4 linked regions of the Oryzias latipes genome follow. The protein of the gene in region 1 binds, or shares a complex with, the protein of each later gene. Links are inferred from orthologs where the notes say so. Each region holds a gene or a part of one and is shown on either strand. Other genes may lie near its edges.

Region 1 (6,939 bases):
CACTTCGGCTCCTACTTCTTCCTCTTCCCTCTCGTTCTTCTCTCCTCTCTCTGCTCCTCCTGTCAGCTGTTTTGCCTCTCCTTTCTTCTGCCTCCCATCTGTTCTTCTCGTCTTCACTCTGACGCCTCTGTCTACCTCGGCCCTCCCTGCCCCTCTCGCGGCTTCTGCTTCGGTCCGGGTCCGCCCTGGAGCTGGAGGGTCTCTGCCTGTCCCTGCTGCTGCGTCTCCCTCCATCTTGACCTCCCTCTGGAGTGTTCTTGTTCTTGGGACTGCGATTTCTACTCCTGCTCCTTCCCCTTTCCACTCCTCTTTGTCTGTAATCTCCAGAGTCCTCTTTCGGCTCCTTCTGTCCGGTGTGAGGGCTTGCTGACCTGCTCCTGCGAGAGGAGGCCTTTTTGTGACTCTTGACTCGCCGCTCGCTCTCAGAGCTGTTATCCCGACAGGACTCTTCTTTCTTGTTCTTCTTCCTCTTTTGGCTCTTGGATTTTCGGTGAGCGCCTGAATCTGAGCCACTGTCACTGCTGCTGTCATCAGAGGAGCTGCTTGAGCCATCACTGCTCTCCTGCTTCTTCTTGTGCTTTCTTTTGCTTTTCTTCTTCTGTTTTTTGCTCTTCTTTTTCTTTTTCTTATCAAGCCGATCAAGTTTTCTGCAAAACAGCAAAGAAGTAAACTTTTTTTTTATATTTGAAAAATCAGCACACATAAAAACAATGAGAACATTCATGTTGGACATAAACATTTTCTCCTTAAGCCTTAAAAACTAAAATGTACAAATATCTGAGAATTTGCAAGACTGAAATGAAATCCTGTTTACCTGAGGAGCTTTTGCTTCTGTTTAGTGGTTAATGACTTCAAAAATTCCACTTCTGGATCGTCTTCTTCATCACTGGCAACATATTGCTAAAAAGAAAAAAGAAAGACTTTTGGTGAATTAGAGTTATTATAGATGTTTAAAATAACGTTTATTAAAAACTAAGCATATTTCATGAAGCCTGAGAACCTAACAAAACTTCCCTTTCTTTGTTGGGTACATTTTTGTGTAGATGTGCGTTTGTGTATCATCATATTCGCACAACGATGACAGTGTGAGACAGACAATTACCTGTGTAGAATCGCAAACAATAGAGTTGGTATCAAGGACACATTTTTTGAGGGCAAACCCACTGTTTCGCATCTCCGCCATTAACTCGGAGGGGTGCATCGACGGACCTGTTGGCACAAATCACACCCTAAGAGTCCCATTGATGTGGGATGTATACCATCCACTATCTCCACGGCGGGAATTCCAAAGGCGGCTTTGTTAACAGAATGGGACACCAAATCAACTCACTCCACTTCCGGCTGAGCAAATCATACAATATCGTTCACTGCCAAAGCAGCAGTTAGGGGAATCAGAATACACAATAATTACATTTTTTTTCTCCCGGCACAGGAGGGGAACCATTACGGCACTCCATCATCATCCCCACTGACTGGACTCTCCCAGGGTAAACATTATCACTTTACTACTCAGCTCGCTGATTGCAGAACTTGGAATCAGCTGAAGGCTGTGAGCTTTAGCTGGAGCCTGAGAGGAATGATGCAGAGGTAAACGAGCCACAGCATGTGTGGAAGACAAAAAAAAAGCTGCTCCGCTGACCCCCGCCAACCACGGATTCACATTCTTACCACAAATAGTCACACCATACGTGCGTTTTCAGAAAGCACATGGTAAACGGCGTGTACTTGTAAAGCGCAGCACTACCTTCTTAGAAGGCCCAAAGCGCTTTACAGTCCCATTCACCCACATTCAACCAATAATGGAGGCTCTGCTGCCAAACGCTGGCGCCAACTTCTAACCACCAGGAGCAACGTGGCGTTCAGTGTCTTGCTCAAGGACACGTCGACACACGGACATGCAGAGTGCGAACTGAACCTGTGATCTTTCAACCAGAGGTCGACCGCTCTAGCCCTGCACCACCACCAGATGCAAGTAAAAACCCTGAGCATGCTTTAAGGATTCTGTATGCTTCATTTGATGCTTTTAAAATAAAACCTGTTTATAAGAACATTTGTTTGAAGGTCCATTTATACTGATGAGAGAAAAAAAAAAGAATACTTGAGCACATAAAATGGTACCTGCTTCCTCCTCAGACGCCATGGAGCTGGCGTTGATGCCTGACAGTCCGTACAGAGGACACTCTCTGTCTGTGTTCACGTGGCCCCATTTGTGACACTTGATGCATCTGACATTGCGCACCTTTAAAATAAAAAATGAATTAAAAAAATTATTCAATTGTTGAATAAAAAGGTTGTAGAAATAACGTCATAATATACGACAGAGTATAAGGGCCACCATACAGAAAAAGAAATATTTGAAAAAAGTTCATGAGGGGAAATAAGTCTACATTTTATGGGAATGAAGGCACAAAACTGTTAAAATAAAGCTGTACATCACAAAAAAGCCAAAGGAGCGATTCTTGAGCAGTGTGGTGTCCATCCTATTTCTCTCAATTGTTTACAACACACACACAAATAATGTTTGGTTGAAGAGGGAAAATATAATGTTTAATTCATGAAAAAACAAAATTTCCATGGTAAAATTGTGACTTCTCATAATTCATATATGCATTTCTTTTTTCATGCTGGCCCCAAAACTATGCTGTAAATATAGATTCTTGGGATTAATAAGGAGGAAAAAAATATTCTAAACTCAAGTACAGTGTTCCTTCATTTATCGCTGAAGTTAGATTCATGATAGGGGATAAGTGAAATAAGCAAAGTATCATCTTTTTTATTTTGTGATCTAATGCATAGATCATGTACATAGATCTTGTGATCCATTTTAAACACGTTTCCAGTGCTTTTAATTATGATTATGTCCTTTTGGCCCACTGATTGTAGCTTCTACACCTACAAGCTTTTTCCAAGTTGCATTATTTCTTCTGCTCCTGATTCACAATGATTTGAATAGAGAAATACTCAGAAATGCAATTTTAAACATACTTTCCTTTGAATATATTCGCCGTCGTGAGAAAAATGCCATGGAAACATGTTAAAAACACCAAAACTATTATTTTCATGTAAAGCACATAAAGCTGCATAACATTGTTTAGTTGCTCTTGTATATATGTATATATCTTGGAAAAGATATATGTTTGTATGTAATTTATATACTTTTACTACTGGATCCTAAACCATTGAAGCCATATATATTGAGGTTAGGAGTAGTAGGTAATGAAATGACAGAAGAAAATGTCCTTTTTTGGATTGTATTGTTTAAAAATTTTCATTAGTAAATTTGCTGCAGCGGGATGATTCTATATGCAAAAAGTGTCATATTTTGAAAGGAACTTGATACAGCCTTTGTCAAATGCAAAACATCAGATTCAAGAAAAAGAGCTACTTTGTTTTTATTTTGCTGTGTTTAGTTCAATTACATTTCTCCTAAAAGTACCATAAATAAAAAGCACTGTTGTATTTTTTTAAGCAGTTCCTGCTGGGTTTTGGTCAGAATAATCAGCCTCAATGGCTCTCTCAGTGTTGAAGGCTGAGATTTCACATTTGGTTTGATTTAGGGTGAATTGTTAGTGTTTGCAGTTAATTTACAAGTTTGAGTTTTTAGATAAATATTAATAATTGAGTGCATCAGAAGGTAAGAAGGATTTCAAGCTTTTCATTTACAAAAAAAGTAAATACTTTATTTATTTTTATTTTTAAAATACTTTTTCTAAGATACTTAAAGCCTAAAGCCAATGGAAAAAAGACAAATTATTACATTTTTTAATTTTATATTTCTTATTTTTGCATTATTAGTACCAACAGTCAACCAAAAACTCTAAACTTAATTCACAAATTTAACAGAAAATAAACAAGTTTCTATTCACTACATTTAGTTTAGATCGTATTTCCAGACCAAAAAGAAAGAAACTGCAGCAGGGTTTATTTATTTGTTTGATTTTTTCTTTCCGTAAAAAGAGGAGTTGACTAAGATAATTGAATCAAAAGAGCAAATGTGCAGTTTGCCTGTGTAACAAAGCAGTTAAAAAATAGGAATAAATCTTCACTCACCTGGATTCCAAATGGCTGATCTCTAATATTCATGTCATCTTTTGCATATCTATAAAAATAAACAGGGAACATGTTGGTTTAATCAACTTAAAGAACGGACAGACTACACTGTAAAACTAACAAGTTCTTAAAAAGACCTTAAAAATAAGTTAATTAATTAATTAATTAACCAACTTTAATTTTCAGTAGGTGGAAACAAAGCAGCAAAAAAAACTGAATGGGAGGATATTTCCCCCCCAATAATAATGTCAAAAATAATATCAAACATTTCCAATCAGGATAATAATCAAATAATGAGTACATTAACGCTACCAAAAAGCAGCATAGTGCTTGTGTAAAACTATGAAAGTCAAAAGGTGCAGCAGTGAAACATGTGAGATTAGCTGGTGGTGTTAGCTGTCAATCATCTTGAGCATAGCAGTGACCCACTAACATACCTCCAACTTGTGATCTGACACAATAAAGCAGTGGAAATATTAAAAAAAACACACAGAGGGGGACAGATGCTGGGCCCTGGTTCTCGTGTACAGAAGAAAAAGATCAGGAAGTGTTTTCTTGCTACCTTATCTTTAAGTGTGTCCAGCATGATTCATTGTCCGTGATAAGAAAATGCTGATCAGGAGAATTCCAGCAGCCTCTGCCGCTATCAAGGTTTGTGTCACAGAGCTGTTCCTTTGAAGCAACAAGTACTCAACACAAAAGACCTTAAGAACTTTGTTTAAAGTGAGAACTCTAACATCGCTTTGAAAATCGCCTTTTCAGGAACCTCAATCAGGAAGAGAAGGTTGCTCTGTAATTGGTTTGTTGAATTAACAGCTTTACCGTTTAAAGGGGAGAGAACCTTTCCAAGAAGGCAATGACTATTCTATTATGTGGGATTGTTATAATAATAATATTAATAATAATATTAATAATAATGGATTGGATTTTTCTGTGCTTTTCCAGACGCTCAAAGCACTTACAAAGCGTCCATTATTGATTCACTCCTCATTTATACTTGGTGATGATAAGCTACTGGTGTAGCCAGAGCTGGCCTGGGGCAGACTGACAAAGGCGTGGCTGCCAGTACAGGCCTACGGCTGCTCTGACCATAACTGGGACATTCGTACACATTCAATTGGTTTGTTGGTTCCAAGACACGGAAGTAGACTGAATGAGACTACCTATGCTGGATCCTGATAACACGTAGGACAGATTCATGATTTTCCTGAAGCATTTTAATATACTTTACTATAAATATCATATTAATGATTTGCCATCTTTATCTAATAGATTTAAGATAATTTTATGACCTGGCAAATAAAATATGCAACCAGGCTGATTCCCCCTCCCCAAAACTGGTCATGAATACATCTTAAAACATACAATGAAAATATAAAATGACCAAAAACTCAAGTCTTGAAGCAACCTCTAAAAAAATGTGTCAGAATCTAGAACTTACTTCTCTCGGGGAGCAGTCTTCTGCCACTCAAACTTGCATTCCTCCTGACCCTCCTGAGAAGCAGAAATATGGACATAAGATTATCTTTAACATTATAGATTTTGTTTGTCCTACGAGGGCAAACTCAAAAAAGATGTATACATTTTGCATTTAAAAAAAGAAAAACAATCTAAATTGAGGCAAGATTAAAGACAATATACCACCATAACCTGGGCAATATAATAATAAAAAAATGTCTGAAGAGAACACAAAATATGGCAGCTGGATCTGCATTAGATCATCTTCTAGAAACTGAAAGCCTTTCAGACATGAATAACGCCAATCCATTTCTAGATAGTTATGTATTACAACTTCAAACAACCCTGAACTTGCAGAATATTTTTATACAGCAAAACTGTGATAATTTTTTTTAGTCATAAAGGTGAAAACAAGAGTGATCGGTCATAAATAGGGTAGTTTAACAGTGTGGATTTCTACATACAAAGGGGAAATGATCTAATTCCTTCTTATTGTGAATGAAACATTTATCTGTAGCCACTATTCTCTTCAAACTTTTCTGAACAAAAGACAAAATTTTGCTCCTTTAACAAGATTCATTTCATTTTTTTCATTCAACCTGGCCTCTAAAAAGATATTGAATTAATTATTTTGTTTGTTTTAGTCTTAAGTATTTTTTAAATGGGATGTTACAGTCAGTATTTAAATGTTTACAGGCTGTTAAGGAGTTTTTCTTCAGCTGCAGTCTGGTCATGACTATTGCAGAAACACACTTTTTTTAAACAAGCCAGATAGAATTGTGTGCAGCTATTGAATAAACAATTATCAATGACAAAATAAACCAAAAAGTGGATTGTTAATGTTTAGGTGAAAATCACTTGGAATTACTTGGTTAGAATTATTCCCCTCTGTCTAATAAGTGAGTTGATAAAGATTTTTGTTAACTTTACCTCTTTTGTCTCCTCTTCAAGTCAGTAAAATGTGCGAAGAGCAGCAAAAAGAACAGAAATGTACATGTTAAACATAAGATGTCAAAGAAATATTCAATTAAAAAATTGACAAACATATTGACAAATGTGGAAGATCATTTACCTTTGGAAGCGCCTGGTGGAGCTTCATACATGAAATTGAGGCCATTTTTAACACGATCATCTCCCATTAACAACCTACAATCAGAGAAAATACAATCTTATCTGAAAAATTTATTAGTTTTGTGCTGTTATAAAATCAAACCAAACTGCACAACAAAAGCAGCTTAAAGCCAGTTCTGGAAGTCAATAAGGCTTTAACCTGACCTGTTGTTGTATGTTTCCTGCTCTTTCAAATATGCCTGCATTAGATCCTCTTGCTTCCGCTTATCGAAAGTGAGTTTTTGTTCGGCCATCCATACCTAAAAGTAAAAAAAAAAAAACACAAAGAAAGAGAGTGGGTATTAGGATGCAATTGTCTTA
Region 2 (6,638 bases), on another chromosome or scaffold:
AGGCGGGGCCGCTTGCCTCCCTTCTTGTGGCTGGCCACGTTCCTCCGGCCTCCCTCCCCTTCGTCCTCTGAATCGGAGAACTCCTCCTCGCAGACTATCCTCTTATCCGTGGCCCGAACTGTGGACACACAGCAACACGCTGATGCAGCAGCGGGGACGTGGGCGATCACGGGAGGTTTGTGGAGGGCGGGAAGTGCGAGCAGTCTTACTAGACAGGCGTTTGTCGGGATCCTCCTTGTCCTCGTCCAGCGGATCGTCTGGGACGGCGTCCTCTGGGATGGCCTGCATCTGAACTCCTGGAGCGTGAGGAAGCATCCGCAGGTTCTCGAACAGGCGCTGCCTGAACACACACACGGGCCGTCAGTCTGACTCCCAAGAGGCGTTTAAACAACTACTTCATCACACAAAGACAAACCGTTTGGTTTCAGTTCAACTGAAAAACGGCTAAATGAGATGGCCGCTCAACCCGGTGCCAAGGATTACTAGATCGTCTGAGTGCTGCTGTAGACTGGTAGTGAAATCAGACAATCAGGAGCCGTTTGCTTGTAAAAAGAATAAAAAATAGTCACAGCAGGACAACTGAAGCTGATGAGAGCCTCGACTCCGTTATCCAAATGATTTTCACTCTGCCATTTTAAAAATACAAGTAAGGGCCTGAACACTTTGATGTCAGAGCAGTCACCAACAAGTGCAAAAGAACAAACGTTCTTACCACGTTATCATAACTCTACAACTGTTTATGCAATGAGTGTAACTCCAGAGCAGCTTTGTGCCACAATGCAACACTTCACGTTAGCAAAGCCACTGTTGTCCGGGTCAGAACCAGCTGGTTTACATTGATCGTGCAAACACTTCACCATCGTGTTGCATATCAGTGCTGCTTTTCTGGTTATTTCATCAATACCGACACAGAAGCAAAGGCCCGGTAATTCCAGACAAACGTACTTGATCTTATCCAGGTACTCCTGTGTGTTCTGGTTGGTCATGTTGGAGGGGCTGATGTGCAGCTTGAAGTCGGGTCCAAAGTACTCAAAGTAGTCGTTGTAAGGCAGTTCTGAAGGAGTCAAAGAAAGAGTCAGATGCAGGAGATCTCTGCATGGAAAGCAGACAAACTGATGCTTCCAGCAGCTGCACAGAATGAGGAGCTCAGAGGCCCAAAAGCATCATGGGAAAAGACTGTTGTGTTAACTGAAGTCAAAATACAATCTGAATTATAGCTACCAGCTTTAAACGTTTTGGTTCTATTGTTGATTCGTCCGCAGAAGCACCTGCAACAAAAGCAGCTGTCCTCTGGGAACAACGCTCCTTCGTTTTACACGGAACGTTTGCACCCCCTGCTGGTTCACATGCGTACCTGCATGAATGCATGCAGGTCACAGCAGCTGAAGCTCTCTGACACAACAAGAGACCAACCGTCTGGGATTTCCGTGTCCAGAGCCACAGCAGTCTCGTAAGTCCAGCAGCGCGCCACATTGCGAATGGTATATCCTCCTCCCCCCAGCATGAGCAACGGGAGGTTGAAGGACTTGATGTACTCCACGCATTTGGCATGACCTGCAACAACAACGCGTTAGGGCCGTCCTGCCGGTGTCACTCATGCAGGTAGCGTGGGGCTGCGTTGTACCGCGGATGGTGAGGTTGAAGCATCCGAGGCGGTCTCCTGACAGGGAGTCTGAACCGCACTGCAGAACCACAGCACTGGGCTGGTACATCTCCATCACCTTTGACATCACCTGCAGGCCCAAACAGCACATGAGGCCACCACTGACAGGTTCTTCATCATTTCCAGTGTGGCTGTGTCTTACGGGTTTGAAGATTTGCTCGTATGACTCGTCATCAATCCCATCCCGCAGGGGAAAGTTTACAGCGTAGTATTTGCCTTTTCCAGCTCCAATATCCTGAGGACCACAGGAGACACCAACAAACCCTTCATGAGGAAGATCGAACCATCTCCACTCAGGCATCAGTCTGTTTGTGATCACTGCTCACCCTGAGGTCTCCAGTTCCAGGGAAGTACTCTCCGTATTTATGGAAAGACACCGTCATGACCCTGTCAGTGGTGTAGAAGGCCTCCTCCACTCCATCTCCATGGTGGATGTCAATGTCGATGTAAAGCACCCTCTGGTGGTACCTGGTGACAAGACCCAGGGTCATTCATCTGCCGAAAACGAAAAGCCGTGGATGAGAAGTTCATGAGAATTCCTCTGACTTGAGGAGCTCCAGGATGGCCAACACAATGTCGTTCACGTAGCAGAAGCCCGAAGCCTCAGACTTCTTGGCGTGGTGGAGTCCCCCCGCCCAGTTCACGGCAATGTCCGTCTGCTGCCTGTTCAGCTTCACAGCCCCAGCTGTCCAAAGAGACCAGGGCAGGGGGTCAGGGTTCAGGTCTGATGCAGAGCTCAGCTTTGAGCTTTGAGGAATTGAGGTAACACTAGTCTCTAACTAGTAACGTCCCACAAGCACGATGTGGTTTGTGTGGACTCACCAGCAGAACCGCCGGCTGACAGCTGACAGAACTCAAACAGGCCATCGAACACAGGACAGTCCTCCCCAACGTTGACTGAAAAAGATTACACCAATGAAAAGTCATAACCTGGGCTTCCTAAAAACAAAAAAAACAAAGCTTGCTTCAATAGCTTTGTGTTTCAAGCAGAAGTGATTTAGTTTCAGGTTTATTTATTTCAAAGAGCTCTACAAAATCATCAGTAATCATGTGTCCATGTCTGAGATCATTCAGAGACTCCCCCAGTATGGAGAGCTTCACCGTCTGCTGCAGGAGCTGCATCTGAATGACAGATGCTTTCAGCGGTACTTCTGTCTCTGTGACCCAGTGTGATGACTTGCTGTCCCTCATTAGTCCCAGGAGGGACTATAACGCGGTTTACTTTTCACGGTTTCACTTCTTCACGGATTTGCATCGTGCATTGTGTTCTGCATTCTGATTGGCTAAAAAGTCACTCTAATTCTTCTCTTCCTGTGCGTCAATAACGTTGCAGTTTAATTTGTACACGTACATAAAACAGCTTGCCAAATTTACATTATGTACGTGCAAATTCTCTTGCAATTTCGAGTATCTCTAAAACCCATAGAAAAAAGAGCAACAACTGCCTATCACTGTGTTCTTCTCCTGAACAAACACAGCTGCACCGCGGGCTTCAAAAGAAGAAAACACTGCAGAGCGGAGTCAGGATGCAGCGGCTCAGTCTGAATAGCAGTGAAATACACCTGACTCACTATTTGTCCCACTGTACTTTGTATTTTTTTTTATTATCATTTTAAATTTTCTCCCGTTTAATTCAATTACTCTCGGGTCGCGGTGGGCGGGGCTAATCTCCGCGATTTGAAGCCTTCTGTTCACATCGATGATTCAAATTATTATTTGACAGAACAGTACAGACGTTATTTGTTGAAAAAAAAACTTTTATAAAGTACTTTTATTTGTGAAACAAATGCTTGAGCCTGTAAAATGGTTTGTTCTTTCTTTTCAATGTATAATAATGTATAAGTATTTAATTGTATAATAATATTTAAAATAAAATAAAGGTTTCTACTTCACGGATTTTGCCTATTACAGGTTTTTTTGGAACGTAACCCCCGCGAAAAACAAGGGTTTACTGTATACTACTTGTAGAATCGTTTTATTATTGTCTCAATGATAATAAGGAAAGTGTGAAGTTCACGAAGAGAATGATCAGGTTCTCCTTCATGTCTGTTTTAGACTCCACCCACTGATCACCTCATCAAGACGTCACGGGCCAAAGCTGAGTCCCTGATTGGTTGAAGCAACACAAACTCTTTGCCATAGTTAAACTCTGGAAACATGGTGCTGCACTGTGAAATGTTGCCACACTGTGTAGCCCCACTGTCTAAAATGCCCCACCACTAAAGAACTGCACCCCCCTGACACTTAAAATGAGCCACGGGCCTTCTAACCAAATCTGTAGATTGACTTAACATGTAAACTAGATGCCATGACTTGCAAATCGCGTTTGGTATGAGCCATTGACTATATAAGAAAACTGGACTGAGTGGCCCTCCTCCCCATGGCATTCCAAACAGGAAGTACCTGCTGGTTCCAAAAAGCCAAAATCGCAAAATCCAAAATCGACTTTTATAGAGAAATAAACAGCTGTTCCTCAGTCATTCTATTGGTCAGAAGAACCATACTTTTTCTGATGACGTCATCCCTTTTGTTTTTACATCATTCTATAGTTCAGGTTATGCAATTCTCTAGGTTATGCAGTCTATAGTTCAGGTTTATCACTTATAAAGTGACCAATCAGATGCCTCAATAAAAGTAGGTGGTCCCACGTCCAGCGTTGGAAACATTTGACGGATTGTAGCTTCACTGACAATCCACTTCACTTGACTTGTATCCTGTACAAAATGCTTCCTTAAGTTTGTCTGAACGTCAACAGAGCCCACTCACAGCGCTGCATCTGCTTGCTGAACTCGGACATGTTGTCTGGCCGTATGGATCTGAGGAACTTGATGTAGTCGTCACTGTGGTATTTGGTCATCTCGTCTGCGGTGGCTTTGTGTGGCCTCTGAAACCAGGAGAAAGGTGGAAGGGAAGAAACCAGAACTGAATGAAAGCAGGAGCGAACACAGAACTAAGAGCAAACCGCCAAGCTAAATCGACGTTTCCTAATGTCTGAAGTCTGCTGAGGATCAGGTCACATGGAGACACGCTCCTCACAGCAACAGAGCACAGGAAAACATACATAGATCTCCATTTTTCTGTAGAGGCCATAGTTCAGGAGGAGGTTGTGAGTCATGCGGATCCGATGTGGCTTCATGGGGTGTCCTTGTCCATAATAGTAGTTTCCAACATCACCTAGACACAAGAAAAACACAAAATCAATGATGCAGATTGCCAACATTAGCTCCACCAGCTTTTCTGATTCAACTGTTGGCATCTGTGTTGTTCCAACAGAGAACATGAGCAGCAAACGACAGAGGAAGACAACTCAGAGCACTGATCTGTGGAACAACCGAAGCTTCAGAACGATGACTCACATCCTCACCGTTATTTATTACTGCTCAGTAAACAAACCAGGAACAGTTTACAGCAGACAGAAAACGGGACTGATCCCTGTCCAACAAACTGGACCCTCCCAACCAAAATGTACTCTGACATCTCATAATGTCAGTTTATTCTTTACATTATGATTTCAGTCAGATTATTAAAATATGAAACCGCTCTAAACAAGTGCCAGTTCTAATGGGCTGAACTTTTATGACACTTATGTTCACGAAGATCTACATCTGCATCAGTAATCTAGTCATTTCAAAGTGATGTGCACGTCATTAGTGCACGTGGGACTGCTCTAAGCTAAATGTGACCGCAGAAAAAGGTGAAGTGAATTGCTTAAATGAACATGGTGTTTTTAACACGTTCTGGCAGCATTATTCTGAATATGAAGAAAATTAAACAGAAAATTGAATTTCCGAGTATTTCTTTGTTCAAACTGTTGTGAGTCAGGAGCGGATAAAAAATATGCAGTTGGGAATAGCTATAAGCAAGCCCCAAGCTCCCTGTTCTGTTCCACTCTAAAGGCCTGTTCACACCGGGACGAATTTCGCCGGCGATTTTCGCCGACGTTTAACGCCTCGTGACTAAACAAAGGGCACCAACGAGAGTGTGCACATCGACGCGAAAAAACGCCAGGCGTTAAAGCGTCCAAAAAAAAACGCCTCGGGTTCGTTTTTTTTTTCCGACGAAATCTACTCGACCAATGAGAACGGCGCTTTTGCTCACGTGTCTGGAGCTTCTGAAGTTACAGTAAAACACAACTTGGGGGCGCTCAAACACAAAACTGCCTTGCTGAGCACACATACCAGCGAAGAAGATAGACGCCAAGTAGCGTCTACACAGCCGCGAAGCAATAATGACGGACATTCTAAAACATCCCCGAACCAAGCACCAGTTGGAGCTACTGGTGCTTGAAATATTCATGTTTTCTTTGTTTGATTCTGACAAGCGTGTAAAAACTTGCTCTCTTCTTCTGAGTGAAAAGCGACTTTAAGAAGCGTAAAGTTGCGCAGCGCCACCTTGTGTACAGGAGTATTTCAGTTTTACATTAAGCGCCATCTAATGTCAGGGAATGAAATTGCATGTTCACTCCACTCATCGTCAGCGAAAATCGCCTGGGTGTGAACACAAAAAACGTGGCGAAAAACGCTGGCGAATAACGCCTGGCGAATATTCGTCCCGGTGTGTACGGGCCTTAAGGCATCCACCTGCAGACTAATGGATCCATGAACGTCTTTGTTTTCCTCGTCTGAGCTGGAATCGGGATAGATCTGATATTGGCCATCTTTTTTGTTGCACTGCTAATGTGAGGATGGGGTTGTGAGGGGCTGTAAGCTAGTGGTAGAGTAGAGTGTAAACGGGGGGGGGGGGGGGGGGTGCTCTGCATCAACAGTCCCACCCACAACTCAGAGGTTAATGCTCTGCAGAAACTATGTCCCAGAAAACAACACAGGTTTTTGATTTAAAAAAAAATAATAACTTAAAGCGATCGGACACGCTTGTGTTTGGACCTGAACGCAGGTTTAGAGCCACCCGGGGCTTCTGCAGACGGTCACGTGACGTGTAGGTGAGCCAGGCCGCGCGTGCTCGTCTGGAAGCAGTA
Region 3 (8,029 bases), on another chromosome or scaffold:
AACAGGTCCGCATGTTTGATGTAAATCCGTCCTCTGGTCCCGCCCATCCCGAGAGCTCTGCAGTGACATCAGCAGTGTTACTTCAGGAAGACACGTCACTGTCACATGGCGGCCCGACTCATGAACCATCACCAGAGCAGCTTAACCTCCAACACCAACCAGGTCATGGCTGCTGGTGGTGAGATGCTCCGCCCCATGAAACAAACCTCCACCTTAACGGTCCAGTTCACTATCCACAATGGAACCACCTCTGGGTGTCAACAGACACTCGTACCCCCCTGCTGCTTTTGCCTGCACTTTAACACCTTAGTAAAATAATAATTACTGATAATTATTTAAAAATCCAAGAAATCATATTGTAGATTCTTGTAGAATTTAAGTGTGTAATGACGCAGAAAATAAATATTTAGCTCCTAAAAACAAGCAGGAATTCTGTTCCTTTACAGACCTGCTGTTTCTTCTTAAGAAGCTCTTCTATCCTCCACTCATTACTTGTATGTCATCCTTTTGAACTGGTTATCTGTATACAAGACACCTGTATACATTCAGACTATAATCTCTCCACCATGAATAAGACCAAAGAGCTGTCAAAGGACACCATTCTTTAAAATTCATACAAGATGATTTCCCGGATTTTATTTTATTTTTTAATTCCATCTTATGCGGAACATTGCAGATCAAACTCATCTTTCTAGGCTGGAATACTTGCAGTCTGTGACTGACATTTGCGAAGGCGGATTTATTTATTAAATGCATTGATGGGAAGGAGTTTAAGAAACTCCTTCCCATCAATGCAGCTTAAAGAGCTGCAGCCACATGAAGAAAGTCAGGCCTTTATGGTCACACAACATCAATGTATCAATATACTGTGGTGTCATTTATGCACCAACTCACTTGTTGGCTCTGGAGCCTAGAACAAAGGTGGTGGTCTCTGAGAGTCTGGATGGATCCCACTGGAACACAAACAAAGGGTACTATAAGTTTATTTGCATTCATCCATCAGGTATCAGGTATGGAAGAACATCAACCAATGTTTTCAGGCAGACAGAGTGCATCATCATAACTAATTACTGTAATGACATGTGCACTGAGGGAAAGAAAATGAAGACAAAATCTGGATTTTGGGAGCAATTTTTGTGGTTGTTGCTGCACAGACAATCTGAAGTTGTAGCAGGTTGTCTAAAAAGTTGCTATATTTTTAGGGATCCTTTTCAACTTAAGTAGAGGATATCTCCAAGATTCATTACTTTATGCCCTTTTTTAACTGCCTGACATCAGAACCAGCGGGAAGCCACTACACCGTTCAACTCAATTGTTCACTGTGAGAGACTCCATCAGCCGTGTCGGCACAAAGAATTGAGGCGATGTTTGTTCGGTTAGAATGATGACTATAGAAGTCCGAATTATCAGTTTAAAACCAAAACGTATTTTACAGAATTGAACCGAAACGTGGGGAAAGTGAGTCATTACATCCCCACTGATGATATACAGTATATGTTTGAATACAAATTACTTATTTTATAAGGAAGAAAAATAATTTCTCCAGTTTTTGGAGAAAAATCTTGGTTGTTGCCTCATAAGAGGACAGAAAATGATGAAAGGCGCTTCACACCCCGGTGACTCCATGTTTGAGCAGATACCTTAAAACAGAAGTTACAGTTTTAGTTAAAAAAAAGGACAAGTCGTCTGAAGGACAGTTTTTAACTTAAACTTTGCTAAAATGTGTTAAAATTGTAACTGCAGCTGCAGAAACTCTGCAATTATTGATGTTTTTAAAACATTCTGGTCTTCAGACTTTTTTAAAAAGTATATTTAATATTATTACACCTGTTTTAACACTGCTTTCTAATTATAACTTCTTATTTTTAATGACTAATCCTTTTTTTGTGGTTTTAACTGTATTAGTTGTAATTTCTTGTTTTTTAATGACAATATGATGCACTATTTATTTATTATTTGGAAATCAATGACCAAATGTGCACTTTTATTTATTAAGTTGCAAATTATTTACTTTTTAAATATTTTTTTAAGAATAATAAACTACCCTAAGAGCACTTTTAAATGTCACTGTACATGTAACAATGACAAATAAAGTAACTCATCTATTTTAGTTTCTGTAGTGTGTGAAGACAGACTCACCTTAGGCCCCTCCCTCCTAATGGCTTCAATCTTGGGCTTCACTCTAAAGACAATATTAAACACATGATGAAAGGTCAGGTCACCTGCAGAGATGCTGCTGTTTTCATCTTCAGGTACTTACGGAATGTAGGTTGTGGGTCGGTCTGAAAACGCGACAGTGGGGCGACTTTTCCTCTGAGGGGACACAGAACCATTAATGACTGGGTCAATGCAGCACCTGACGTACAACAGATGCTGCCATCGTACCTTCCTAGGAAAGGAGCTTCCTCTCTGTGAGCCTTCTTCATCAGAAGCTTTAGGTAGTCTCTGCAGGGAAAAGTACAGAGTTCAGATTAAAACCACAGCCAGGGTCTTACTGGCCGGTTCCACAAATCTTACCTTCATGCTTACCCCAGGTCCCGCCGTCTTCACCTCATTCTCTGGAAAGAGCTGTTTGGCCTGGGAGAACATCAGAATAAAGTTGTCAGAGAGTTTCCCCACAGGAGAGTAGACACGGTCAGAGCTGAACACCAACTGCTCTCACATGTTCCAGAGCGTTCCTGTAGGCCTCCCTGATGAGATGATCCGTCTGCACCTCCATGCCTACATTCTCCTTCACGTTCTCCGCTGCCTTCTCGTAGAACTGCAAGATGCACACCAACAACTGCTCACTCTCGTCCACACCCGAAGGTAGCAGCCCACCCCTCCAGTGCAAACTCTGACCTTCTGATACTTCATGAACACCGCCATGATGTCATTGTTGAAGCTGGGCTGAAGCACTGCCCTCAACAGGTCCATGGACACATGAGGATCTGTGTAACTGTACAAGATGGGAACATCCTCATTAAAATGTGAGAAATAATCAGAAACGGCAGACCAGAATAAAAAGAGGAGAAATCTACTCAACATGCATTTGATGCAAATCCATTTACTTACAGATCAATAAAACTAAAATAATTTTACTCTTCAAATATAGTTTGTATATTGCAATATTGCTCGCCATTTTTGTTGCACTGATGATATTGGGGGTGTGAGGGGCACTAAGCTAGAGAGACAGCATGTAAACAAAAGGATGATGGGAAGTGGGGGAACGTTCACTCTGCGGCAGTGGTCCAGCTCACAAGACAGAGGCACATTTGTAATGAATTACTGCCACTCTATCCCAGAAACTGTCCTAAAAAACATCAAAAGTTTGGGGATTTGGGCTAAAAGCGGCATAATCATAACTAAAAGCCCCGGGAAACACTTTAAAAACAGATCAACAGATGACTGGAGTGGCCTTGTTGGAATGATCTGAACCTAATTGAACTCCATGATGTACAACGTTTAGCAGTAAACAGACAAACGATTCATTTGGAGCCCATTTCAGTTGTACATGGCACTTTAATACGAAGGAAACAACATGAATTGAGCTGCTTTGTTGGGAGGCTGGACTGCAACTAAACATGAAGGAGAAAGAGTAGAAACAGTAGAAGTAAAGCAGCACTAACCTGACAGCCGAGAGTGAGCGGCGACCTCGTTTGTGGATGTGTCTGTGCTTGATCATCAGGTTCCAAGGCCTCTGTGAACATCAGTATGACTGAGTGACGACAACATCGCTTTAGTCTCTTAGTTTCTGCATTTTATGTTTCAATACATTTTCCAGTTTCACTAACATCAGACCCCTCCGGATGTAAGTAAAATCATGATATAAATACTATAATGATATAAATACTATAATGATGTAATATAATATAATAGTTGCTTTCATAATTATAATGTACAGTTTAAGTTAACAGCGACAGGACTCGCTAATCTTAGCGGAGTCGGCCTTCGGCGGAGGCCGGGAGCTGACTCTCGTCTAACCGTGATCTTTTCCGGATTCTCCGCCTCCTCTTGCTCCTGCCAGTCGCGGCCTCCCTCACTGCGCTGGGCTCCCATGACGGAAACTGTGCTGTCCAGGGTCCAAGGAGCCCGAACGAACAGAAACAACTACAATTTTGGCTAACAGGTGGTAAAAACAACGGTGGCTAAGTGACTAGCTTGACGTCACGCTTCCGGTACAATTTCCGTAAGACCGAAAAAAAAGAACAAGAGAGGAAACAGTGCTAATATCTCGACATTTTAAAGTGTTTTGTCATATAATTTAAAGAAAACAATAAAAAAAATACACTGTGGTTTTTCGGATCATGTACTTCGCATACAAGTCCTTCACAAACAGACACAAACCGTATCCGGTCACCACCTTATCAAGATAAAAGCCCCACATTTAAAGTATCAGTTGTTTCAAATTAGGTGTCAAAAGTAAGAACCTCTTAAGTATTACCTCTCTTTTACATCCATCTGTTGTAACACAGATCTGTTGAACATAGTTTATATTTTCAACAAAACGTTTGTACTTGTCTCCTACTTCATGGACCATACCAGTATATGCCGACACAGAGATGCTGGGGAAACTGCTGGAAAAAAAGTTGCCATTCAGGACTCACTAATGTGAAAAAGCAGACCTGGTGCAGACCTGGGGCACCTGCAGGAGCACCACATATTCACTCACAGTCTGGTTCTGTGCTATGATGAGTCTCTGGAACCTCTTTTATTGGAAACAAGTGTCACATACCTTTAAGACAAAGGTCAAGACCACAGTCAAGTTATAGTAGCAGAAGCAGCAGTAAGAGGAGACAAAGCTTCATCCTCCCTTGAGTGATGATGTAGATGTCACAGAGAAGACTTCAGGAGCAGAAACATTTGTGAACCCTCAGGACTAGCTTTGAAAAGTAAAGTCCAACCTCATTTATCAGAGAAATTTATGTTCGAATACCTCATTTTGAAAAGAAAAGAAAAGACCCTTTCTGGTAATAATTGACCAATAAATAACAGAAAAAAGGGTGTTCAAATTTAGCAAATAGAAAAGGAAAATAGGTCTAGAGTTTCCTTCATCTCCTTCCTACAATTCCTTCTAGTCACAAAAGATTAAAAGCAAAAAAAATAAATAAAAAGTGTTTTTTTAAGACAAAAAGCACAGAAGAGTGCATTTTGTAACTTGCTTATAAAGCAGGTATTGTTGATTACCTGTACAGTTGTTCATTTACTGCAAAACTAACCAAACTGGTCTTAAGATTCTCTAACTTTATTTTTGTAACCATTTTTGATGCAACAACATACTTTTCGCTTTTAGGATTACACCTTTGCATGGTTCTGCTGTATTTGCTCATTTTATAGTCCAGTTTTGCATGTTTTTAGTTAAACCTTTTGAGAAACCTGATGCAACTAACCTGTTCCAAATCAATGAGATCTGAAATGTCATAACAATAACAAAGCTGCTCAAACCTGAGGGACAATGAAGACAAGCTACACGCTGTTGTACTGGGCTGGATACTTTTTACTTGGAGAGGAGTTGCAGTTTGTCTGCAGGCAGTATTAAGGACAACAAAAATTGAGTCTGAACAGACTTATACTGAACAACCCCTCTGCTGGACTGGTAACCGAGTCCTGCGGCTCCCTGAACACAAACCAGAAATGCCTCCCGTCACCCTCCTATTGTGGAAGAGGAAACCGCTCTTCTGCTAAGAAACAGGACCAACCTGTTGAGGAGGTAAGAGAGCATTTGACGATCTGAGAGTCAGAAATAAAGACGACATCAACTCTCGGGAGAACACACCTTCAGCTGTGGCAGAAAAAAAACCGCTTCAGGTTTTTCAGGTTCTGTTCCAACTCTGAACTTTTTCCTTAAATGCTGCTCTGCGATTGTGTGCGGTCCAAATTTTTTCATGCACAACTAAAAGAAGAGATGGTGAGGCGAGGAGAGTCCCAGCTCACACAGATAAACACCTGTCCTGTACATACACATTTATATCCTATAAACAACACTTTGGTTTGGGTTAAAACAAACTATTGGGCCGTGAATACACAAACACATCTCTTTTAAAAAGGTTAAATTAATCCAAAACAACAACAAAAAATTCAGCTGAAAAGAGCATCAACAGACCTCATGCGGTCCAACTGTACATTATCTACAAATGGGTGCAGAGACGCCACCTGACACCTGTCACAGAGCAGCGGGCAGCTGCTGGGTCAGGCCAGAAGTGTGTGTGTGGGGGGGGGGGCACAGCTCATTTGTGTTCTCCCATGAGAGATTAAAAGTGTCTTAGTGTCTGAACCTGGACTGGACCAGACCAGACCTGTCTGTACTAAAGTCCTTCTGGACTGGCCCAGCTGTAAATCTGAATTCATATAATAATTTTCTTTTAAACAAATCTACAATGTTAATTTAATTTACAAAGCAAAAGAAAAACTGAGGTGAAAGTGACAAAAAAGAACGTTTAGAAAAAGACGGACAATAATCTCACTGTGGCCCCGCCCCCTCTGTTTGACCCCATCAGTCCAGCTGCCAGCGCTCAACAGGTGCACAGTCAAGTCCTCCTTCACCAAAGAGGGCGGGAGCTCTGCGAGATTCTGTCAAAGACAGACAAGTCCTGTAGAAACGATAGCTGCCAACCAGTGAGAGTCCTCAGACATCAGGGAAGTCTTTTTTTGCTGGAATTCTGAGCGGCCGAATCTCAAACAGCACGTGAGAGCTTCGGCCAATCAGAATGGCCAGCAGACGGAGGGAGGGGGAAGTGGTGAACAGGTCAGATGAAGCCTTCACCCTTGCTGGCGGGGGAACAGCAGCATTCTGTGTCGGCCTTTGTGTGCTACAGTTGCTGGTGAGGGTCAATGAGAGCGCAAGGGATGAAAATCACTACAAGCTCTGCCCCTCTGTCACAGCCAGCTTGTCCTGAGGACTGCTGCTGGTGCTGCCATTGTTGTTGTTGTTGTTGTCATGGTCACTGGGGGACATCACACTGCTCTGTGTCCTATCACAGGCCTTGAGGGTGGAATCTCTGTCTCCTGGGGAAATGTGGGCGGGGCCAGGGGAGGACAGGGAGGAAGTGCGGGACAGAGAAGGCCGATATGCTGCTGTCAGCTCCGCCAAGCGTTCTGGTGTGGGCGCCCATTTGGCAAATCCAGCGTCGTTCTGTAGAAAGAGTACCGCAGTTCCATGGACAGCCCGGTAGTACATGTCTTCTCTAAGGACAAAAAATAAAAGCAAAAACCTATTAGATCAGGTGGGACGTGGAATCAGAACAGCAGAAGTGCAGCTACCTCTTGCAGACGTGCTGACTTCCAGATCGATACTCGTGCTCGTAGGCTGAGACGCTTAGCTGATGTCGCAGGAACCGGCTTTCCTCCATGCGAGTTAGAGCAGGAGTCACCGGGTCACGCCACTCCGGGATAAAAATGATGAAGGACAGCGGTTCCGAGGACTGTTCCAACAGATCCTAGCACAGACGCAAACCGGGTGAATGCACAGACCAGCACAACTCCGCACAGGTGAACACTCAGGCAGTACTGACCTCAAAGTGCGTCACCATTCTGTCCATGAGCTCCTCACAGAAGGGGGGGTTTGCTTCAAATGAACCACTCACTGGCCTGAAAGACAGGAACGGCCTGGACACAACATGTACTCCATCATTATACTTGTCCAGCTCAAGAGAGACAATCTGATGAGAGCAAAGTGTTCCTTCGTTATCTGGCAGTTCATCTTTTGCGGTCTCGCAGATTTGTGTAAACTTTCATGCTTGAGTTTTTTTTGACAGCGCACTGAGTTCTGTGTCCTGATTGGCTGTAGATCTTGTCAATCAATCTCCTCCATGCTGCGTCTCCTGTACAGAATTAGCTCAGGTCGCCGCTTTTACATAAATCTTCAATCGTCAGCAAATGATAACTACATGAACCCCAACATGATCTTTGTTTTCATGTTATAATACTGAACCCATCTGGCAGAGGAAGGTCTGAAGTTTAAGAGTGTTTAAAGACCCACTCCGATCATCTTTTAATCCATTTTAAAAACATTCCCAGAGGTCTTTTAATTATAATTATGTCATTTTTTGCA
Region 4 (7,947 bases), on another chromosome or scaffold:
TTGAACGCATGTTGAAAGTGAAGCCAGATCAATTTGTCCAATCAGGACTCAGATTTGGTAGTGACGTCTGCATTCTGTCACACAAACAGTCTCACAGTCAGTCTCAAACAGACTTTCTTGGAAAATTCTCCCTTTTGATTTGAATTTTCCTGACTTCACCGGCGGTAACGGATCTGACCTTCCAGCAGATGGCGGTAAAACTGGATAATTCGATCAGTGTAACAGTAACAGGAAGTGGAGCGTCTCACCGCTGTACGGCAGCTCGTCGCTGATGGATTCCTCCAGCAGCAGAGATGTCTCATAGGTCCTGCCGTCCACAAAGCAGATGTTACACAAACCCTGAATATCCGTCACAGGTTGCTATGGTAACACCTATTGGTTGAAGGAACACTAACCAGCAGCGAGCCACGTTCCTCACAGTGTACCCTCCTCCTCCGAGCACCAGCAGAGGAATCTTAAAACTCTTCACGAACTCCACGCACTCCCTGAAACAGGAAGCACCGTCATCCTGCTGACCACGCGGAAACGCCGCCCCCACCCTCCGTGACGCGGAGTAAAAGTCTCACCCGTGTCCCCGTATGCTAAGGTTGAAGCAGCCCAGTCTGTCGCAGCCCAGGGAATCGGCCCCACACTGCAAACAAACAGCCTCGCTCTCAAAACGACCCGCAGACAACACAATGGGACAAACGGCGGCGGCGGCTGACCTGCAGGACGATGCAGGTGGGCTGGTAGTAATCCACCACCTGCTTGATGACCGGCTGGAACAGCTGCCGGTAACCTGCAACACACACAGCCGTGACTGCACGCTCACAGCAGACGGCTCTGACTGCGCAGACCTCGGCCCTCACTCTGGTCGTCGATGCCGTCTCGCAGGGGGACGTTGAGGCAGTAGTAGCGTCCGCTCTCGGCCCCCACCTCGTACATGTCACCCGTTCCCGGGAAGAAGTAGTTCCCATACTTGTGGAAGGACACGGTCATGACTCTGTCCGTCAGGTAAAAGGCCTCCTGGACGCCGTCTCCGTGGTGAATGTCGATGTCGATGTACAGAACTCGGGGGTGGTACCTGCGACACACACACACACTTAGAAAAGGCGGGAACTGCCGGAGGAGGTGCAGAGGAGCGCCGCCTCACTTGAGAAGCTCCAGGATGCTGATGACGATGTCGTTCACGTAGCAAAATCCCGACGCCTGCAAACACAGAGAGAAAAAAAAATCTTCAACCACAAATCACTTCAACTGAACAGACAGGAAGCTGTGGAAGTTTACCGACCTCAAATTTTTTGGCGTGATGCAAACCTCCAGCCCAGTTGATGGCGATGTCACAGATCTGCAACCAAAAATATTTACATTCAAGGAAATCCAGACAAGAAGGAGGCACTGTGACAGTGACACCTGCTGGTCATCTCAGGTCATGGCAATAAAGTCATAAATCCAGAAAAAAAATCATTGTATTTTAAAAGTGCTTGGAGCCTAAAAATGTTTTTATTTTTATTCTGTTGCAGTTTCAATAATTATAAATAAAAGGTAAATGACACTCCAATGATTCCAGGTTTTTCAATAAAGTACATCTTTCGTCTTTTTACTGTCTCAGATGAAAGGAAACGAGCGGCTGGAGTCACCGTTTTAAACTTTTAATTCCAATAAAGAAGCCCTGTTTACACAGAAAACAGCTACGAAATGTAGGACTTTCTTTTTAGACAGAAATAAAGAAAATGATTTAGAAATGTCTTCCAAGATGTCTATAAAAGGTTGGCATTGAAAGCTGCTTTGCTGCTGCTTTTCAGTCCAAACCAGCTTAATGTTCCGAATCAGAACCAAACAGTGAAGGACCATGTTTTACTATAAAGCAGCTCAAAACTGGATCAGCTGTCCTGATGATGACAAACGTCTACTCAATGATATTGTTTTCTGTATGTATATCTGTGGATTGATATACATCCATGGATGTCTGTGGTGACAGTCGGATAACTCCTCACTTTCACACATTTGCACACTAGGAGAATAAATCCAGTTTTATAGAATGCAAACAAAGATCTGATGATGATTTGGCACAGAGGAGATTGATTGACAAGGTCAACAGCGAATCAGGACGCAGAACACAATGTGCTGTTAAAAAATGAGATCGCCACAAATGAAGACAAATGCAAATTTCCAAACATTTCCAGCTTCATGCTGACAACTTTGGCTGTTTTTTCCCCAAACATTTGCTGAAACTATTTTTTTAAGACGCAGCTTGAAAATAACATTGTTTTTTTTTATATTTTTAAGAACTGAAGCTGCTATGTTTGTTACAAACTCCAGAATATTTAACTATTAACTCTATTAATGCTGCAAAAACATGTAAAAAAAACCAAACATTTAGCTTATTTGTGACCTTCCTGTGAGTAACGATGTTTGATAAATAATAAGCAAACCATTTTCTTTTTTAAATGATTGCGTTGAATGTGGCTGAAGGTTCTCGTTTATCCGGGTGACGCAGTTTGGAATATTTCCTCGGTCTAATAGAGAAATCGTTCAGTATGATGATCGATTGTGGTGTAAAAAATCTGCAGCCCTTTATGATCATGTAAACATTTAAAGTCTGACCCTGTGAATAATTCCTAAATGGAGCTGAATATCCGTTACTAGAGGAGTCCATGAGTGACGGTTCATGACAAACCCAGTGATGGAGAAAAGCGGACGGCTTACCTTGTGGTTGAGCTGCGTGGCGCCCTGCAGAGACGCCCCCGTGTATCTGGAACAGAACTCAAAGAGTCCTGGAAACACAGGACTAGAGCCCGCCGTTGGGTTAGTGCTCACATTTGCATGAACCAAAAGCAGAAGACAGATCGATGAAGAGGAGGAGCAGCAGCAGCAGCGCTCACCAGTCATCTCCAACGTTGAAGGTGTTCAGGCTCTTGGTGAAGCCCTGCATGTTGTTGGGGCTGACCTTCTGCAGGAAGTCGATGTAATCTTCAGAGTGGAACCGGCACATGTCGTGCTGAGAGGCTTTGTACGGCTTAAAAACCTGACGGTCACAGAGAAACTGCAGAGTTCAATCTTTGATCTCGAAGCAACAGTGGAAGCAGGTTCTGGACCTTCAGGAGTGTCTCACCATCATCTTTTTATATAACCCATAATGCAACACCAGACTGTGGGTGAGAGACAAACGGTGAGGCTTCATGGGATGACCGGCACCTGCAGGAGACGCGGTTCACAACAAGCATCATCACTTTTTCATCATCAGCTCCATTTCAACATGATTACACTTCCAACGCGTTTTCACGACCAACAGGAAAGAAGATTAAAAAAAATGCTGCAGAATCCCTCCATTTAGTTTGAATCTGCTGCAGCTGTCGGTTCTGTAAATGTTTGTTTGTTGTTGTCTTTTCTTTTTAGACCTATAAAAACCAGAGAAACCACGATCACACTCTGTCAACAATCGTTTTGTCAATCAGAGGCCGTGAATGCTTTGGGACAAACACTTGTTTTAGATTTTGGTCTCCATTTTTATCCTGCAGTGATCAGCTCTTTGTGGACTCACAGCAGCTTTGAACTGAGCTCACACTAATAAAAAAACCAAATCAATGATAATCCCAAACTGTTCAGAGATTATAAACAGCTGGAAGTGATTAAGACCTAAAAGTTTTCATGATAACAGAAACGGGTAAGGACATAATTAATTATTATTAACCTTTCTATTACCTAAATCTAGAATCAGTACTCCTCAGCTTAATTGGTATATAGTATAATAGCCCATTCCTGTATAGAATACAAATTGCAAATATGTTGCCTGGAAATAACCAACTCAGTCAGGGTTTAAAAACACCAACAGATAACCCTAAGTATCTACATACACTCCTGCCGTGGGCAGGATCGCTACAATATTCTTTTCCTTTGCACCCAAATGTGACGTTATGTGTTCATTACTCACCTACAACACACTGGCCTGAACATATGAATGAGATAAAAAAAAATATCTTAATTAAACCCAGAAACAAAATTGGAGCTGAATTTTAACAATGAATCGTTTGAATTGTTAGCCTCCTCCAGCTAGCTTGCATTAGCACTCCTGCTCCAATCCCAGCGTTCAGCAAACTCACCGTAATGAAAGTTTCCCACATCTGGGTCGTAAAAGTAAGACGTCCTAATAGACATTTTAAATGTAAAAAAAATAATAATAATCCTGAGATTCAGCGAGGTTTTACTTTTTAAAGAGCGGCTCAGTCTGCCGCATTTTTCCTGCCGCTAACGGCTAACCGTAAACATTTAAAGGTGACGTCATCATGCTGGGACGCAGGGGATGGAGAGGGGAGGGGCGAACAGGGGGTCTCAAGATGGCGGAGTGAGTTTAAACCAATGAGTGATGATCACTAGAGGAAACATCACGTGGTTCCTCATGGGAGGAGAGCACCGCCATCTTGGTGAGGTCAAGTTACTGCTGCAGTGAATGCATTTGAACACATTTTTTGCATAATACCAGTTCATTGTTTGTGTTTCAACTGCCAAAATCAGAGAACTGAGTCCATGAAAGAAGAAGTATATCATTTCATAGAAAAGTATTATAATTTTTTTCTTTTGTTTCTTTCTTTTTCTTTTGTTTTTCTTTTATTAATAGAACACATGTTGACATGCATGATGCTGCAGGGTTATTATCAACATGCTGCATGATGTACGGAGAATTTGCTGTCGACATAAATGTACATTTTATTTTGCTAAACCTGTATACAGCATACTAGGCTATTATAGTAATATAGATTTATACATGTCTGACTCAGTGACCGAACTTTTCACTATTCACTATTCAGACTTAAGGAAAAAGTGGATCTTAGCAATAAAAAGAGCTAACCCAGATGGATCACTGTGGTACCAACTAGTAATACAGTCTGACTGTTCAAAACATTTGTGGAAACCAATTTAGATAAGAGGCCAGACTGTTAGCTTGAAACCTGACACCATACCATCTGTGTTACACAAATTGATCACTCACATGAATCTATTATTTTTCTTTGTTGTTGTTATTTTAGGGTAAATCTATTGTTCACTTTTGGAATTCTTTTGAATATTTATTTTATTATTATTATTATTATTATTATTATTATTATTATTATTATTATTATTATTATTAATAATAATAATAATAATAATAATAATAATAATAATAATAATAATAATAGACTTATATTTTATTATTTATTGACTTATTATGTATGTATTGCTATTATTTATTGTTTGTATTGACTTACTATTGATTTATTATTATTATTATTATTATTATTATTATTATTATTATTATTATTGAGTTATTGTTGGGTTTTTCTAAATAATTTAAATTACATGTCAAAGAGGTCTAAAATTCCTAAATGTTTACAAATTATTTTTTTTTAATTCTTTGTAATAATTTTTTTATTTGTAAGAAGTCCTGCAACAATGCATTTTCATTAAAGTTTGAGCTTTTAAGGCTGACTGTTTCTCTTCTTTAACAACAACAAATGATGTATCTATATATATATATATATTATATATATAAATATAATGTATTTACATATATTTATAAATATATATAAATTGTAAAAACATATATAGTATATAAAAGCTACTTAGACACCTCTAAAAGCAATAGAAATCATTGTCATGTGGGCGTCGTCGACCTCACCAAGATGGCGTCGCGCTCCGCCACCGTCGGCCAGGCTTCTAAAGCGGGCATGTCTCCTCTAGTGATATAACTCATTGGTTTAAACAGTAGTGAGTTATATCGCTAGAGGCGACACGCCCGCTTGGGAAGCCTGGCTGGTGGAGGCGGAGCGAGTCGCCATCTTGGTGAGGTCGACGGCGCCCACATGACAATGATTTCTATAGCCTTTGGTAAGTAGCTTTTATATAATTTATATATATTTATGTTCATAAATATGTATACATATATATAAATACATAATATATATATATATATACACCATTTGTTGTTGTTAAGTAAGTGAAACAGGCAGCCTTAAAAGCTCAAACTTTAATGAAAAATGCATAGTTGCAGAATGTTAAAAATAATTTTTAAATATGTAGAAGTTTTAGACCTCTTCGACATGTAATTTTAATTATTTAGAAAATCCCAACAACAAGACTCTTTCGGCTTTTCCCATCAGGGGTCGCCACAGCTAATCATCCTTTTCCACCTCACTCTATCATGGACATCTTCTACCCTAACATTAGCCAACTTCATGTCCTCTGTTAAGACATCCTTATATCTTAAGACATCCATATATCTCAATAGGAAGTCAATAATAATAATAAATAATAACAATATATACATTATTAGTCAATGATTATAATAATAATAATACTAGATCAATAATAAATATTAATAATAAATCAATAGTAATTCAATGATAATAATAAATGATAAGAATAAATCAATAATAAGTCAACAATAAGTCCAAAAGTTGATAACAGATTTACCCTTAAAAAAAGAAGAAAAATAAAGAAAAACAATAGATTTACTGATTCATGTGAGTGATCAATTTGGTGTTACTGGTGTCTAGCCAGTCTTATCAAAATGTGTTTCGACAAAATCTTATGAACATAGCCAGACTGTATTGTTAGTTGGTACCACAGTGATCCATCTGGGTTTGCTCTTTTTATTGCTAAGGCCCACTTTTTCCTTAAGTCTGAATCCATTGGAAACCTGCAAGAAAAGTTCAGTCACTGAGTCAGAAATGTATAAATCTATATAACTATAAAAGCCTAGTCGTAGTACAGAGTATATAGGTGTAACAAAATAAAATGTACATTTATGTCGACAGCAAATTATACATACATCATCCCTACATGTTGATAAAAGCCCTGCAGCATCATGCATGTCAACATGTATACTAGTAAACATAAAGAAATACTCTAAAATCATTTGTGGACAAGAGATAGTTTGTCGATCCAAAACCACATTGCAAATAACATATATGAAAGCAGAAGAGCGTGTGCGGGACCATTGGTTTCCAATCACAGCTCAATTTGAGAACCATTTCCTGAACCACTGACGAGGCCCGGCCCGCTTCCAGCAGAACTGAAGGATGAGGGAGCCTTCACTGAAAATTGTATGGACCAAAATCTGTCTCACAAATACATTCTTTAAAAAAAAGAATGACAAATACAATTTTTGCCCAACTCTACCACATTTTTGGCCCATTGCAAATCAAGAGAGAGATGGTGAAGTTCTGAGACTGTGTGAAACGGGTGGAAATGGATTTTTCTGCAGAATGTGTGTTGGCTTGTTGAATTTTTAGTCCTGGAATGTCAGACCTCCTCTCTGCTGCTTTTTCACTTCCACTCATCTTCCTGCTTCATGTTTCTTTGCCGGTAGCAAATCTCCCTCTGCTTCTTTGATTTAATGCTTCATGTTTTATGTATAACAGAATTCCAGTCACACTAGGTTCAATAAAGGTCAGCTTCAGACGTGCTCTGTGTTCAGTGTTTGAAATTTGAACAAAATTGTTGTTTTTAAACAACAATTTTGCTATCCTAGGCACTTTAACATTGGGAGTTGGGTCATCTAGACCCACTAGACAGTGCTCTGAACCTTTTTTCTTCAATGATTTGTGATTTTCACTGGTGTCCATGGATTACATGAAATCTTTCCACCTTCGTCATGGTAGGGAGAACACGTCAATGGAAGGGTGGGGTAATCTAAGATAGCACAAGGGATAAACAATTTCTAAGCCGCCTCAAACTCTCAAACAACTTTACAAATCAAGATTTCATTTTGTGTTAAGCTCCCAAAAATCTGTTTGCAGAATTTTCTCCTCAGTTGAATGTTTCTGTGAACTGGGATGGATGTTCTGCTAGAGGAAAAAACCTGTTAGCATTGCTGGCAGAGACTTTAGAGATAAAAACAACACATCACCATTGATCATTAAATGCATAAGCTACTGTATATAATGATAAACGCCTTTTTCAACAATGATGGTCGCTGAAAAGTGTAGT

The links.
Region 2: cir1 (region 1) and hdac2 share a complex: the UniProt entries of both Homo sapiens proteins name them as parts of the histone deacetylase complex. The link is inferred for Oryzias latipes from reciprocal best matches to the Homo sapiens genes CIRSR and HDAC2.
Region 3: cir1 (region 1) and dnttip1 share a complex: the UniProt entries of both Homo sapiens proteins name them as parts of the histone deacetylase complex. The link is inferred for Oryzias latipes from reciprocal best matches to the Homo sapiens genes CIRSR and DNTTIP1.
Region 4: cir1 (region 1) and hdac3 share a complex: the UniProt entries of both Homo sapiens proteins name them as parts of the notch corepressor complex. The link is inferred for Oryzias latipes from reciprocal best matches to the Homo sapiens genes CIRSR and HDAC3.

What each region holds. Positions count from the first base shown.
Region 1 is NC_019879.2:22,284,889-22,291,827, forward strand, and holds part of cir1 (corepressor interacting with RBPJ 1), read right to left. Parts: intron 6,879-6,939; coding exon 6,784-6,878; intron 6,655-6,783; coding exon 6,581-6,654; intron 6,453-6,580; coding exon 6,439-6,452; intron 5,545-6,438; coding exon 5,492-5,544; intron 4,100-5,491; coding exon 4,051-4,099; intron 2,240-4,050; coding exon 2,119-2,239; intron 1,210-2,118; coding exon 1,103-1,209; intron 901-1,102; coding exon 815-900; intron 648-814; coding exon 1-647. UniProt on the Homo sapiens protein: May modulate splice site selection during alternative splicing of pre-mRNAs. Regulates transcription and acts as corepressor for RBPJ. Recruits RBPJ to the Sin3-histone deacetylase complex (HDAC). Required for RBPJ-mediated repression of transcription.
Region 2 is NC_019882.2:21,616,015-21,622,652, reverse strand, and holds part of hdac2 (histone deacetylase 2), read right to left. Parts: intron 4,838-6,638; coding exon 4,725-4,837; intron 4,548-4,724; coding exon 4,430-4,547; intron 2,561-4,429; coding exon 2,486-2,560; intron 2,349-2,485; coding exon 2,210-2,348; intron 2,132-2,209; coding exon 1,990-2,131; intron 1,899-1,989; coding exon 1,806-1,898; intron 1,734-1,805; coding exon 1,625-1,733; intron 1,555-1,624; coding exon 1,414-1,554; intron 1,055-1,413; coding exon 946-1,054; intron 341-945; coding exon 210-340; intron 119-209; coding exon 1-118. UniProt on the Homo sapiens protein: Histone deacetylase that catalyzes the deacetylation of lysine residues on the N-terminal part of the core histones (H2A, H2B, H3 and H4).
Region 3 is NC_019863.2:18,086,444-18,094,472, reverse strand, and holds the start of dnttip1 (deoxynucleotidyltransferase terminal-interacting protein 1), read right to left. Parts: upstream 4,507-8,029; 5' UTR 4,039-4,506; coding exon 3,964-4,038; intron 3,680-3,963; coding exon 3,609-3,679; intron 2,939-3,608; coding exon 2,842-2,938; intron 2,762-2,841; coding exon 2,663-2,761; intron 2,578-2,662; coding exon 2,518-2,577; intron 2,446-2,517; coding exon 2,386-2,445; intron 2,314-2,385; coding exon 2,261-2,313; intron 2,183-2,260; coding exon 2,140-2,182; intron 954-2,139; coding exon 895-953; intron 58-894; coding exon 1-57. Other genes in the region: pcif1 (phosphorylated CTD-interacting factor 1), read right to left, coding at 6,836-7,163, 7,240-7,415, 7,491-7,584. UniProt on the Homo sapiens protein: Increases DNTT terminal deoxynucleotidyltransferase activity (in vitro). Also acts as a transcriptional regulator, binding to the consensus sequence 5'-GNTGCATG-3' following an AT-tract.
Region 4 is NC_019868.2:25,321,286-25,329,232, forward strand, and holds the start of hdac3 (histone deacetylase 3), read right to left. Parts: upstream 4,272-7,947; 5' UTR 4,138-4,271; coding exon 4,083-4,137; intron 3,178-4,082; coding exon 3,095-3,177; intron 3,008-3,094; coding exon 2,865-3,007; intron 2,771-2,864; coding exon 2,689-2,770; intron 1,328-2,688; coding exon 1,271-1,327; intron 1,189-1,270; coding exon 1,133-1,188; intron 1,064-1,132; coding exon 849-1,063; intron 779-848; coding exon 705-778; intron 632-704; coding exon 567-631; intron 486-566; coding exon 396-485; intron 308-395; coding exon 249-307; intron 1-248. UniProt on the Homo sapiens protein: Histone deacetylase that catalyzes the deacetylation of lysine residues on the N-terminal part of the core histones (H2A, H2B, H3 and H4), and some other non-histone substrates.